2 linked regions of the Lytechinus pictus genome follow. The protein of the gene in region 2 interacts with the protein of the main gene of each other region in a pairwise test. Links are inferred from orthologs where the notes say so. Each region holds a gene or a part of one and is shown on either strand. Other genes may lie near its edges. The genes, in order: DNA replication complex GINS protein PSF2-like and DNA replication complex GINS protein SLD5-like.

What was found.
Region 1: the proteins of DNA replication complex GINS protein SLD5-like (region 2) and DNA replication complex GINS protein PSF2-like interact in a two-hybrid assay, tested with the Drosophila melanogaster proteins (2 studies listed by BioGRID). The link is inferred for Lytechinus pictus from reciprocal best matches to the Drosophila melanogaster genes Sld5 and Psf2.

What each region holds. Positions count from the first base shown.
Region 1 is NC_087246.1:48,469,805-48,477,078, forward strand, and holds the start of DNA replication complex GINS protein PSF2-like, read right to left. Parts: upstream 3,138-7,274; 5' UTR 2,883-3,137; intron 2,159-2,882; exon of another isoform or gene 1,993-2,158; intron 839-1,992; 5' UTR 373-838; coding exon 168-372; intron 1-167. UniProt on the Drosophila melanogaster protein: The GINS complex plays an essential role in the initiation of DNA replication.
Region 2 is NC_087256.1:9,160,328-9,168,123, reverse strand, and holds the start of DNA replication complex GINS protein SLD5-like, read left to right. Parts: upstream 1-4,629; coding exon 4,630-4,728; exon of another isoform or gene 4,729-4,814; intron 4,815-7,796. Other genes in the region: large ribosomal subunit protein bL35m-like, read right to left, coding at 233-364, 1,325-1,670, 4,461-4,500.

The sequences.
Region 1 (7,274 bases), on a different chromosome or scaffold from region 2:
GATTTGGAAAAAAATGATATTAGCTGATAAATATAATTGTAATAACTAGCTACATAAACCACCTCACCCCCCCCCCCTCCCTGCACAAACACATATTCCATTCAATTCATTTCACTGTCCCTCTCCCAACCATTCCATCCTCCTATCACCAACCATGAATAACTTACCGACATTCATCCAATCTGGTGGTTGGATCCGGCACTTCTGTCTCTGTTTCAGATTGACAGCCATCCAGAGGGGGACCTTCATGGGTAAACTAGGATTGAACGGTCCAACGTTGCCCGCTATCAAGAAGACTTCATCGTGGGAGAAGTTGGGAACGATCGTGACCTCCTGCTTCTCTGCCAGGAACTCCACTTCAGACGGATCCATACCCACACTGTTCAATTGTTTGGATGAAAGGTCTTATGAGTATGACCTCTCTGATTGAGTGTACACAGCCAATATTTCTCTTCAAATCAGCACCATCTGAGTTGTCTTGCTTCAAGGAATATGCATCAGAGTGCAGTCTCAAGTCTTGATATTCCAATGTTCTTTAGGAAAGTAGGAGCACATCAGCCAATCTAGAACTATAAGTCCCACTTTAATCCTTTATCTGTGCTTGTGTAAAAGTGCACATGACACCTTTAAACTTTCCCTTCCCCCTTTTAAAATTCAAATTCAAGGTTTGTTTTTTTAGATCCGAAACTGACAGGTTAATTTCTTAATTTATCAGTATCATCAAATGAGGTGAGTCTGTCCCTTAGTTCATGAAAGTACATGTAAAGGCCTTGAAAGTTTGTGAAGGCAAAGTGACAAGTTTCCTGTTCTGCGGCCTCTAGTTAGTTGAAAATCAGTCCTGAAACAAGTGAGAGAAAAAAAATACATATTGAACTTAATTCAGTCAAATCAGTTGTTACATATGGGCATAAGTACAAGAAAAAATATGATTATACATTTCAATACATTCAAATTTTTAAGTGGCAGCTCTTACTTTTAAAGTTAGAATAGCCTTAGAACAGTGTCTTTGGTTGAACCCTTCTTCGTAAGAATTATTCAACCTTTTTATGAAGCCGATGGGGGGGGGGGGATACAAAGAAAAGTCCTTAGAAAGACATCAACTTCAGACACATCCTCCAGCTAAGAACAAAACCCAAACAAGATGTTGCTCTTTTCATTTACAAAATACACAAGTTTGACCATTTTCTTGTTGATCTCCATGTCAAAACATACAAAAAGAGACTTTCAGAGTTAAAATAATGCCTTATGCCATAATCCCTATATACTAGCATAGAAGCACTTTAAATCTGGCGAATTGCACTTAGTGCCTAGCCGTAGGCATGAACTTCTTTGCACATCATACGCCACCATCAGCGAAGGGAGAAAATGCATTTTCCAGCACCAATCCGGATAAGGGATTTATCCGGATCTGGGAGACCCAATATTAAATACACGCAGCTGCTGCTTCGATCCCCAGCCAAATTAAGTCACTGTTTTGTCTTTTTTAAATTATTTTTTCCCACTTTTGGTGCATTTCAAGCCAAAACAGAATAGATCTAATAATATTAATATAAAATTATAATCTTTTTTTTTTGGTCCAGTTCTTTTTAGGCTAGCCTGCCTAGGCCTATATTATTTTTGTGAAATAAAGACAAAAATCGATGAGCCCGGCCCCGTCAGGGGGATTTTGCATTATTTACCCCCTAATGGCGGCTGCACAATCGCGAGCCATCTGTGTACGAGGAGAATTTAAACAAATATATAAATGTTTAAAAAACTCCTCGAAACAGACGGCTGCAGCACTCCTAGTACCAATGAGGTCCAACATTACATGTATGGACCTCATAGGCGACATCAGTAGTATTTTGTGTCAGAAATCTTTGTGAAGATGATTATTTTTGTATTTTATCAAAACTACAAGCTATCGTACTGTCTAATCATTACATTTCGATCTCACTAATTGAATACATTGTTAGCAATAAAAAAAATTGAAAGAAATGAAGGGGAACTTACATTTTCACGGCTTTTTCCTGATTTTCTGGGCAACTGCTCTTCTCTTCTGACTCGCGATCGAAGCTGATATGAAGATCACGTGATTCGCGTTCTCGTCAGCTGATCGGTTGGTTATTCTTTTCGTCAGACGTTAATAATATATATTTTATAATGCTAGCATTCATCGCTAATTTAGGTGAAAGAGATTGAAGTTAAACAGCGCCAGGTCGGAATCATAATTATTTTGGAAGAGTGTATTTATACACTCGATCTCATACCTGACGTAGACGGCGCTATTCAACAAATGCACAATCTATTTAAAAATAAAACAGAAAGAACGCCTTGAACACAGGCCAAAATGCCTAACGATTTCTCCGCGGCATTAACAACAATCGTAAAGGGCGCTCCATTTATCAATAAAGATGGATGCTAAGCTGTCTATGGCGACAAAATTTGCCGCAAATATTTACGAAGAATTGTGAGAAATGGTCTGAAAATGCAACAAAAGAACCGGTGAGTACCGATTAAACATTATCAATTTATTTAATAGAACATATTTAATTACTACAATGTAACGATTTCTAGATAATATTGCTTAGTTCTAAGCTAGGGAGGCCCAAACGCGCGTGAGCGGAGTCCCACTTTATTAGCACGGGTAAGTATTGGGGTGTCGCCTAGAGTGGGCTGCAGCTGCCACTTGTGCCAGCGCCAGCTGTCTACTACTAACTTGTTAGGCCTACGCGAATTACAACGAATGGGACCAGGGTAAGTAGTTCACCCAAAGCTTTGATCTTGTCTTGTCATGTCTTTATGAACCTCAGAGTCAGAACTTTTGATTGATCTTAGATTTAAAACAAAAACGAGAAAAGCATTAATCGTATGATCATTCCCAACCAATGCATAATACATACCATGTTAAAATATCTCCCAAACCCATAAATAGAATGGATACAACTTGTCCAAATTCGCTCAATCTAATTTCCCGCTGGTGTATTATTATTTCGCTGTTTCTTCAATCTTCATTCTCTCGATCTCTCTCATGCATCTCGGCGGCTAATTGGCTAAAGCTGCAAAATTTTGGCCGAGTTACTACCTCAGCGAAATCCCATTAAAAGGCGAGGGGAATTTCCGGGGGAATTTCACCCCGACGAAAAGTTTTAGTGATCGAATATCAGAAAAAAAAAAAAAAAAATTGGTAAAGGTTTGAGGACAATCCATCACAGATTTCAAAAAAGGAGAAAAAAGGGGAAAGAGAAGAGAAACGGGATAAGAATAACATAAAGTTAAAGGAGAGGATTTAAGGAATCGGGGAAGAAAAGTGAAGAAAATGAGAGGAGGGGAGAATAACAAAGAGCAAACATTTTCGCTTTTTCTTGTCTCCATATCATAACAAAACTTATGTTAACCCTTCAAGGTTTCATGATAGAAAATTAAAATTATTACATTTTTTCCATAACCTATTATGCATTATCATTATCTTGATTGTCACTGTGGTGAAATCAAATCAAGCAAATGTTGATTTTTTTTTCTCGCACGCTTCGCCCGCTCGCAATATGCTATTGTAAAAAATAAAAAGGCAAACGGGTATTTATATGTTGTTGTTTGTTGGAAATTAATGGCGACCAGTCATATTTGACTATTACCGCCAACTCGTTTGGTCAACTATTATTTTCTTTCTTTTCTTTGACGTGTCCTTTATAATCGTTCCTCTCCTTTCTTTGTTTGTTTTTGTTTTTTGTTTTTTAATAATAATTTTTATTATTATAAAGGCTATCGTATCTTACAGGTTACCGCATGATCCCGTCCCTTCTAGCGACACCGTCCAGACATCGTCCTGTCTCTCCGGTGTAGACAGGGGGCTCCCCCCGGGGGGGGCACTCAGTATATAATGCATAGTGGGTATGTGCCGCGGAGGGGACCCCCATTTTTACACTCAAATTTCCGTTCCGAGGCATAGCATTTTTGTCTTATTGAGAAAAAGAACAAAGAAAGCCGCTCCAAAGCATAGCATTTTCTTCTTTTCGAGAAAAAAGAAGAAAAAAATCCGCTCCAGGGCATCGCATATTTTCCGTTACGCCGTTCCGGTCGCAATTTTGGTGAAAAGCGGCCGCAGCTCGCTGCCCGACCATCGCCTCTGCGCTAGCGCGCCCGTCAGTCGTGCCGCCGGGCTATAGCTGCATGCACGTTCCATAGGGATGCATACGCACTCGCACGCAGGCGACCCGTTCCAAGGACCCCCGTTTTCACAAACATTTGTAGTTCCGAGCCCGTTCCGAGGACCCTCCTTTTTACAATAAGCCCGCTCCAAGGCCCCCGTTTTTTGTCTCGCCCGCGGCACACCCCTACCACTTTTTTGGTCGAGTGCCCCCCCCGGGGGGCTCCCTTTGGGATACTCTATAGTCTTGAAACTCGGAAAATAAATAGAGCAATAAACTGTTAAAGAGTCTTTTCCCGTGAAATGATCTCGCATATAATTACCAATCAAATACATGTATGTCTGTTTTGTTTTGTAAAGAGAAAATATAAAATTTGATATGGGGAGGTTCGGATTATTCGAAATTTATGGGGGCATCCAAAATGAGGGCTTTAATAAATGAAATGGTGCATTGTTAAATCAAGGTTGTAAGTTAGATGGATATGATCGAGTTAGTAAAAAAAAAAAATATATGTATATACACACACATGCATATACATTTTTTTTTCAATTTCTTCATCTTTATTCTTTTTCCTTTCATTTCTTCTCCTCTTCCTTCCATTTTCTTCTTTTTTTTTCTTTTCTTTTTTCCTCCTTCCTTTCCTTTTCCTTTCTTTTCCCTTTTATTTTCTCTTTATTATTTCCTTTGTCTTTCTCAGTTTTTTCTCTTTTCTCTTCTTTTTTTTTCTCTTTTTCTTTTTTTTTCAAAATGATAATGAGCTCTACTGAATACAAGGAATATAACCCAGAGGGAAGAGAGATACATCTTATTCTAAAACAAACAGAACAATAACCATCGTCTCATGTGGTCATCATACTCATATAAATGACATATATATATACACAAATACACACATATGTACCTATATGAACAAATAAATAATTACATACTAATCAAATAGATATATTTCTCTCTTTCGTTCACGAAAAAAAAAAAAAAAAACAGTGCATTTTGGACACCTGGGTCCCAAGAATTCAGGAGCCTAAGGATTTCCTCGGGATCGGCGATGTCTGCCTCGACAAGAAGCATCGACCTTTCAATTATATACTTAGGGCATTTTACAATGTAGTGTTCAATTGTTTCTTTCTCCGGACATGAATTGCACTGTCCCGTTGGGTGTATTTTCATTCGCCAGAGATCTTCATTTAGTCCTATATGACCTAATCGGAGTCGACGAAATATCTTTTCTCTTGCTATATACATACACATACATACATTTATGTTTATTGGTTACTTGTTGTATACACTGACATACACACACACCCACCCTCACACGTAGAGAATGGGCGGGGGCATAAATACACATACATACATTTATGGCTATTATAGTATTGGTTACTTTAATTGTATACACTGACATTTTTTAAAATACTGTTTTTATTCTGATTTCATGAACAAATAGTTACATAACATTTCAAATTTTTTTCCTTTTTTTTTTCTGTTCTTATTATAAATTGAAATAAATCACAAAATTTACAAATGATTATTAGGTGATTGCAAATCACATAAACACAAGTTAATTATACAAAAAAGACAAAATAACCATAATAATAAAAAAAAAAACCTACCCACTTATCCTCCCCCACCCCCCAAAAAAGGAATGTGGCAAAGTGATAACTTAATATCAGTGTTATCTAAACAAAGATAGGTGATTTGGTAAATAAAGTAGACAAAACAAAATATACAAGCTATGATTATAAAATGGTTTCCCAACAACTATTGATAGGATTAAAAAACACAACTAGTTATCCAAGACGACATAAATATGGAGGTATTTAAACGAACAAGTATATCAAGGAAACTGAGATACAAGTTGCATTAAAAAAATGGGAACTGATGTCTACAACCATATAACCAATACAGTGCAGTATTACTTTTAAAAAATGGGGCACTAAGCCTGTTATACAAAATATACATTATTAGTTATCATGTAACCTGTTGACATTTTTGAAAACCAAATTATAAGGTGAATCGCCACTTCTTAAAGTGAGCGGGCAACTTATTTTTTTTCTTAGCTATCAAATATTCCAAGTCCTGTTGTTTTTTAAAAAAATTTTTAAAAAGAGCATAACTTGGAGGATTATTCTTAAATGTACATGTATGAATATAATACTTCAAAAGTAAGAAAAGGTATGAAATGAACTTATCAGCTGGGAGTCCAAACATTTTTTCAAAATTAGAACCATTTATTTGAACATTATTTTGGGAAATTTTTGTTAAAAGGGATTGCCAAATAGGAATTACCCTTTCACATTCGCAAAACAGGTGGACTATTGTTACCTCACTTTTATCACAGAAAACACAATTGGGTGAGTCCTTAGATTTAATCTTATATAAAAAATCATTTAATGCTATGGCTTTATGAAAAATCTTAAAATAGAATGATCTTAATTTAGTATCAATGGTACAAAAAAAATTGTATAATGTACCTTTTCCCAATCGATAGATACTGGTATTGGTAAATGTTCATCCCAATAAGTGTATCTTTTGACAGGTGTGTGTGATCCCCTAAATAAAATGTATGAATTTCTAGGGACTTTTTTATAACTCAACAATTTATGTACAATTGTTTCATGAACACCTATAATATCAGGGTCAAAACTCATCAACCATTCTTCCGGGATGCACTCAATTAAAAAATTACATTTCCTTCTGTCTGTTTGGGGGATTCCAAAATCTAACACAAGCTCTTCAAAGATTTTGTGGCCTAAAAGAGGGGGATTAAATAAGTCTGACATCATTAAGACATTTCTCTCATGCCACATTGGATAATTAAGATACTGTTTAGTTTTTGAACGAATGAATTTGTTATACCACAGAAGTTGACAACCACTCAAGTCTGAAAATTTGTTACCATAAAATTCGACAGCAGCTTCCTCCCTATAAATGAATACCACATTCACAATGCTTCAGATAATTGTATATTACCAAGACTGTTTAAAATGCTCTCAGGAGCATTAGATTTCCACAAAATTTGAATATTATGATTAAATTTGTCTAAAAAGGCTACTCCAATCTTTTCCCATGGAGCATCAAAATTTTCATCCAATAAGTGTTTTACCCAGACCATTTTTTGAGCACATGCAAAAGAAAAAGGGTCAATCATTC
Region 2 (7,796 bases):
TGAAAAATTATTATACGTATAAATAGGGTAAAAATCAAAATTCAATCTCGGCAATTATGTCACAAGCAACATGCATGCCAATTTCCATTGAAATCATGCAGTCAACAGCCGAGATTTTACAGCCACTCCCCCCCCCCCCTTTAATTTGTCATCTTTTACAGTGTTATAGAAGCTTTTAATAGCAGATGGTAACTTGTCAAGCTATGGACAATATTAAAGAAAATTGACCTACTTGTCAAGTCTATAGAATCTATCAATCACTGCATGAACTGTCTTCTTCTTGCCTTTGTTTTTACTGAATCGTATCACTGTCCTATTGGGTTGATGGTTAAATACTTGAGGTTTCACAAATTTCTGGTTTATACTGCCGGAAAGAAAGAAAGAAAGTAAAGAAAAAACAAAGTAAGGCAAAACCCTTCATAGCTAATCTGATTTAAAGGACCAAAGCATCAATGATGTTTCATCAACACAGATATCCCTAAAAGAATATTATTGCCAAACATAAAACACAAGCTTCTCCCTTTTTTTCTGAGATATGGATAAGCAATATTGTATTGCTCTCCTTTACAACAAAGCAAATTACACTAATTCTTGAATATTGCATGAGGAGTCAAGCAATATTTTTATGTTGATAAAATCTCCAATACATACATGTATTGTAGCCTGTGAATATGAATAAATATCACTGCTTTATAGAACAATCTTTACATGTATAACTCCAAATTTATGAATCTTTATCTGATAAAGATAATTTATCTGATTTCAATCATAGTAACAATTATGTTGTTTTATTTTACTTCTTTATTCCAATCAACCTAATGGACATAATTTCCCTCTCAATAAAATCTATTTTTGCTGTAGCTACAGTTACATGAAATGACATTATTGAAATATTGTGGCATAAAAATTTCAATGAATCATACCTCATATTGTAAAGGTGCAAAAGCTAGTATTTTAGAGTTTCAGACAGGGAGAAATGGTTATCATAACTTCAGCATCCAAGGAAAGGATTATAAACAGTAAAATCTAACTTCTTTGACTACATGTATGTGTGTGTATACGTTTGAGTTTTTACAGACCTGTATCAATTAGATATAATTAATTACGTATGGAACCAACCTTTAACATCACCATCTGAAAGACGTGATTAGGGCTCAAGCCTCGAACCTCTGCATCAATTTTAACTTCACCATGTAGCTTGGCTTACAGGTGCATGCCATATCAATAATAGTTCCCAATAATTCATGCCTCATTATAATATTGTAGCTTCATATCCCACTTGGAAGTACGCTTAAAGTATTCACAAAATTTGATAAAAACTTACATTTCGTTGTAGCTAAATCCCCCGGTGTACCTGCTACATATCAAGCTTGAGAAGGACCTTCCCTGGATCTGACCTCTAGCAACATTAGGAGCTGGAGCCTGGAGATTTAGCCCAGTCAGCCTGGAGCAAACTTGAGAGAGTTCAGAGCTCCTCCAGTGATCCTCCTGAATAGCAGTGGACTGGTGGAGGGGTGCAGAAGCAATACCCCTCAGGGATGCAAGGGTTACACCCCTAATGGGAGTGGTCAGTGGTGATACCACTCCATGTTGAATGCTCTTCTGATTGATACATCCAGTACGCCATGGAGTAGAAGCTGGTGACAACAGTTTCTGCTGAATTTGTGGAACTGTAGGATAAAATAAAAATATAAGTGTGTGTACACACAAAAAACATATGTTTGAAAAGAATCACATGATTCTAATTCTTTAACCTGGATTGAGTCAATGGCAAAAGTAATTAATTACTATCAACAATGTTTTATAAAATCAATTGCAATGACATACTTTTCAAAACCCACAAAACAAAAAAATATAATTCAAATGGAGGTCTCATTTTTTTCTGCTTACTGCTTGAATGACTGCCAGAAAAGTAGGCCTACTCCTGTCATATTTATGTAGAAAATGCTTTCAAGTATGTTGAAAACTTGCAGCCAAATCAAGACCCTAGTTGGTGGCATGAGTTTTATGACATTTTTCTTATCATTCTTTATTTGAGGTCTAAATTTGACCTCAAAATGTACATGTATAAATATATATAATATCACAAATTAGACTGTCTAATTTGTAAAATATATGCTAGCATCATAATGAAACATGATTTCATGAGGCAACATTATGCAATAATTACTAATTTTCTTTTTCTTTTCAAAAAATTCATTTTTATTGGTTTGCTTTATCTAACTTGGGTTGATTTTGGCTGTTTATTTATAATAAATGTAGAAAACAAATAAAAAATGTGATACTGATTATGATATTTTAAAAAATAAGATTTTGTAATGTCACATGCGTCACATGAGACAAGTCTGACCAGGCCAGATCTGACCATGGACCTTCTGAGACTAGGATAAATGTAGAGATCAATTATGTTCTTGATGCAAGTTCCAGCTGAAATTAAGGGAATTGGATCAATTGATTTAATAATTAGATATTGGAAAGTAAATCTGGGCAGATATTGAACAAAATTATAAAATAATTATTTTCCAATTTCTGCTCAGATTTACAGTAGGGGTGCTGGGATCGTCCCAGTTTACAGGAACTGTCTCAGTTTTCAAAGATTTCTCCACACAAGAAATCTAGGAAAGTTCATTCACCTGTCAAGTGCCAAAATCAATCAAGTGCGCTAGTCAATGTAAACATATCAGGTTTCATAACAAGATTATTGGAAGACAACAAGTCGTGAAAAATAGATGGTAAACTGGGGGGAATTGAGGTCACTGAATCTATTTTTAGCACTCTTAATCTCCGTAATTGCCGTCTATGTCCTGAAGGGTTAAGTGAAAATAAAAAACTGTCCCCATAAACAAGGACAATCTCAATTTATCAAGACATGATTTGTCTTGGTTTATGAGGATATCCTTGTTTTCTGGGACTGGGACAATCCCAATTTTTGGACCAGCGGCGCCTCTAGTGCTGTCTGTGTACGAGGAGAAATAAGAACATTTTTAAAATGTTTAAAAACTCCTCGAAATAGATGGCTGCAGCTGTATAAGCCAGAACAGGCAAGAATAAGGACTTAGCATGATCACCACGACACCCGCTGTAATAAGAAAATGCACACGCTGGAAATGGTACATGCATCAGTAGAGGCGCACGGCCAATATGGGAGACTTTTCTTTCTTTTGCAAAGCAAGTCTCCAATATGGAAGATTGTCTCCCATATTGGAGACTTGCTTTGCAAAAGAACAAAAGAAACGGAAAGACTTCCTTATGTCCCCTCCACTAATTAAAAAAAATACTTCTCCAAAACCCCCTTCTTTCGTTCTCTTTTTCTTCTTTTTTTTTTTCTTCTTACTTCCGGTTGGAACTTGGATTCGAACCTCTCGCTGCAGAACGAGCATCTCCAGTCTATCGCCTTACTCACTGAGCTAGCAGGAATTGTTGAAAGCCATGGGTTTCATAGTGGTTATCAACCGATATTACGACTAGTCTACTCTCCAAGAGTATTGGGTATTTATTTTTCTGACTAAATAAACCAATGCCATTGGGAATTACACACTCAAAATTCTGACGGAATAAAGCCATACTTTGGTATGTATCCAACTTTTCCTTCTTAAATCTCTTAGATATATGTTAGATAATTCTTGATAAACCTTCTCCATATTTCTTTTTTTTTTTCAATTTTAGTGGAGGGGACATATGGAAGTCTTGCCAAAGAAACAACGCCAACAAAAGCATAATTTTTTCCACCCAAAATTTTGTCTCACTGAGTCTGAGGCCAGAAGCCCATTTGTTTTGAAATTTTGTGTGTGGATGACAACAAAAATCCTTCTCAAAACAAAGTAGACTGTGAGTGTGAATTCTTTAAGTAAGCAGTGAAAAAGGGGTTAATTTTTCATGAGGAATCTGCTTATCACATTTTTATTTGCCGCCAAGGTCAAGGACAATGTAATCCTTTTGCAGCAAAGTTTCAGTTTGGGCTTTGCCTTTGGCAAAGGCCAAGCCAAAATAAATGTAAATTAATTGGTCTCTCAAATTGGAGACTGTCTCTGAAATAGGATACCCATTCTTTACAAAACTAAAGTCTCTGAACTGATATAGAGTATAGGAGATAATCTCTCTCAGACTCATGGGAGACAGTCTCCCAAAGGCCAAAGGCAAAGTCACACATTGGCCGTGCGCCTCTAATGTGCATTCAGACATTACTATCATGGGCACGTGCGATTCTTACACACACAAGTCAAGTACAAAAATCACAATTCCGTGTTGCAATAATTTAAATAGCACAAGAATTAAAATGCCGAAAACAGTCGCTGTGCGCTGAACAGTACAACACAGTCACAGACCCTTAATCAACCAATATATTCAAACTTCCACCATATTCAACAAGTTAAAAAATATCAACTCAACTATAGATCAAATCGAAAAACGCTGTCAAAAATAAAATATTAGCAAAATGTGAAGATTTAATTTCATTTTACCTAAACTTTTACCAAAAATTCTTCTCATGGAAGCTGCCATCTTTTTAGACTGCGAGCTGCCTAGGCGCCCTCTGACGGTCACTTGCACTTTGGGCAAAGATTCGCGCGAAAGTTGAGACAACGCAACACAAACGAAACCAAGACCAAGAAGTCAAATAAAACTACCAAAATGTCTGAAGAAATTGACGAAAGCTTAGAAAATGAATTCTCTAGTGATGAAGAGGAGGTAGAGATGACTGCTGCAGATGTTCTTCAAAAGTTGGAGGAGGTACCGTACATTTAACTAATTGTTTTTTGTTTTTTTCAAGTTGTGAATTGTGTGGCGGCCGCGGTCTGGTCTGTCTGTCTGCCAAGCTGGAGTAGAGTCAGCCAACAATAAGCTAGCCAACAGCAAGCCAGCCAACAGTTCCAGCCAACAATATTAGCTATCTAAGATAAATCAGATACAGGATTTTGCGTGCGCAGAATAGCACGCATTCTAGGACAAATCAAACAAACGGTGGGGTTACCCTTCTTTCAATTTGTTTAAACAAACAAGGGGCTAGTTCCCATGTCTTAGTAGCACTCCTGTTCAGGGGCGGCGGAGCGAAGTTGGAAGTGGGGGGCACAGAAGAAAAGGGACATTTCCTACCTTGAAAATGGCATTGTTTAATGCAAGAAACGAAGCGAGCGAGCCGGAAAAAGCCAAACAAAAGCCCCCCCCAAAAAAAAAAAATAAAAAATAATAATGAAAAGAAGAAGAAAAAAAAGAAGAAAAAAACCACGATTTTCTGGTTATTAGGTAGCCCGCACCCCTATATAATATAGGATGTTTCTTTGTATATTGAAGAGTAAATTAGAATGAATGTCTTCCTGATAAGGGCCAATTGGAAGATTGCTCCTGAAATATATTTTGGGTGTGTGGAGGGGGGTTTCCCTTCTTTCAATTTGTAAAGAAAAACAACGGGCTAGTGCTTTAGTTTTAGTAGCCCACACCCCTATATACTCTATGTTTTTTCGTATATTGAGGAGTAAATTTCAACTAAAAGTCCTCTTTATAAAATACAATTGGAAGATTGCTCCTGAAATATATTTTGGGTGTGTGTAGGGGGGTTTCCCTTCTTTCAATTTGTAAAGAAAAACAACGGGCTAGTGCTTTAGTTTTAGTAGCCCACACCCCTATATACTCTATGTTTTTCGTATATTGAGGAGTAAATTTCAACTAAAAGTCCTCTTTATAAAATACAATTGGAAGATTGCTCCTAAAATATATTTTGGGTGTGTGTAGGGGGGTTTTCCTCTTTTTCAATTTGTAAAGAAAAACAACGGGCTAGTGCTTTAGTTTTAGAACCCCACACCCCTATATACTCTATGTTTTTTCGTATATTGAGGAGTACATTTCAACTAAAAGTCCTCTTTATAAAATACAATTGGAAGATTGCTCCTGAAATATATTTTGGGTGTGTGTAGGGGGGTTTCCCTTCTTTCAATTTGTAAAGAAAAACAAATGGCTAGTGCTTTAGTTTTAGTAGCCCACACCCCTATATACTTTATGTTTTTTTCGTATATTGAGGAGTAAATTTCAACTAAAAGTCCTCTTTATAAAATACAATTGGAAGATTGCTCCTGAAATATATTTTGGGTGTGTGGAGGGGGGTTTCCCTTCTTTCAATTTGTAAAGAAAAACAACGGACTAGTGCTTTAGTTTTAGTAGCCCACACCCCTATATACTCTATGTTTTTTCGTATATTGAGGAGTACATTTCAACTAAAAGTCCTCTTTATAAAATACAATTGGAAGATTGCTCCTGAAATATATTTTGGGTGTGTGCTGGGGGGTTTCCTTTCTTTCAGTTTGTAAAGAAAAACAACGGGCTAGTGCTTTAGTTTTAGTAGCCCACACCCCTATATACTCTATGTTTTTTCGTATATTGAGGAGTAAATTTCAACTAAAAGTCCTCTTTATAAAATACAATTGGAAGATTGCTCCTGAAATATATTTTGGGTGTGTGCTGGGGGGTTTTCCTCTTTTTCAATTTGTAAAGAAAAACAACGGGCTAGTGCTTTAGTTTTAGTAGCCCACACCCCTATATACTCTATGTTTTTTCGTATATTGAGGAGTAAATTTCAACAAAAAGTCCTCTTTATAAAATACAATTGGAAGATTGCTCCTGAAATATATTTTGGGTGTGTGTAGGGGGGTTTCCCTTCTTTCAATTTGTAAAGAAAAACAAATGGCTAGTGCTTTAGTTTTAGTAGCCCACACCCCTATATACTCTATGTTTTTTCGTATATTGAGGAGTAAATTTCAACTAAAAGTCCTCTTTATAAAATACAATTGGAAGATTGCTCCTGAAATATATTTTGGGTGTGTGGAGGGGGGTTTCCCTTCTTTCAATTTTTAAAGAAAAACAACGGGCTAGTGCTTTAGTTTTAGTAGCCCACACCCCTATATACTCTATGTTTTTTCGTATATTGAGGAGTAAATTTCAACTAAAAGTCCTCTTTATAAAATACAATTGGAAGATTGCTCCTGATATATATTTTGGGTGTGTGCTGGGGGGTTTTCCTCTTTTTCAATTTGTAAAGAAAAACAACGGGCTAGTGCTTTAGTTTTAGTAGCCCACACCCCTATATACTCTATGTTTTTTCGTATATTGAGGAGTAAATTTCAACTAAAAGTCCTCTTTATAAAATACAATTGGAAGATTGCTCCTGAAATATATTTTGGGTGTGTGCTGGGGGGTTTTCCTCTTTTTCAATTTGTAAAGAAAAACAACGGGCTAGTGCTTTAGTTTTAGTAGCCCACACCCCTATATACTCTATGTTTTTTCGTATATTGAGGAGTAAATTTCAACAAAAAGTCCTCTTTATAAAATACAATTGGAAGATTGCTCCTGAAATATATTTTGGGTGTGTGTAGGGGGGTTTCCCTTCTTTCAATTTGTAAAGAAAAACAAATGGCTAGTGCTTTAGTTTTAGTAGCCCACACCCCTATATACTCTATGTTTTTTCTTATATTGAGGAGTACATTTCAACTAAAAGTCCTCTTTATAAAATACAATTGGAAGATTGCTCCTGAAATATATTTTGGGTGTGTGTAGGGGGGTTTCCCTTCTTTCAATTTGTAAAGAAAAACAAATGGCTAGTGCTTTAGTTTTAGTAGCCCACACCCCTATATACTCTATGTTTTTTCGTATATTGAGGAGTAAATTTCAACTAAAAGTCCTCTTTATAAAATACAATTGGAAGATTGCTCCTGAAATATATTTTGGGTGTGTGGAGGGGGGTTTCCCTTCTTTCAATTTTTAAAGAAAAACAACGGGCTAGTGCTTTAGTTTTAGTAGCCCACACCCCT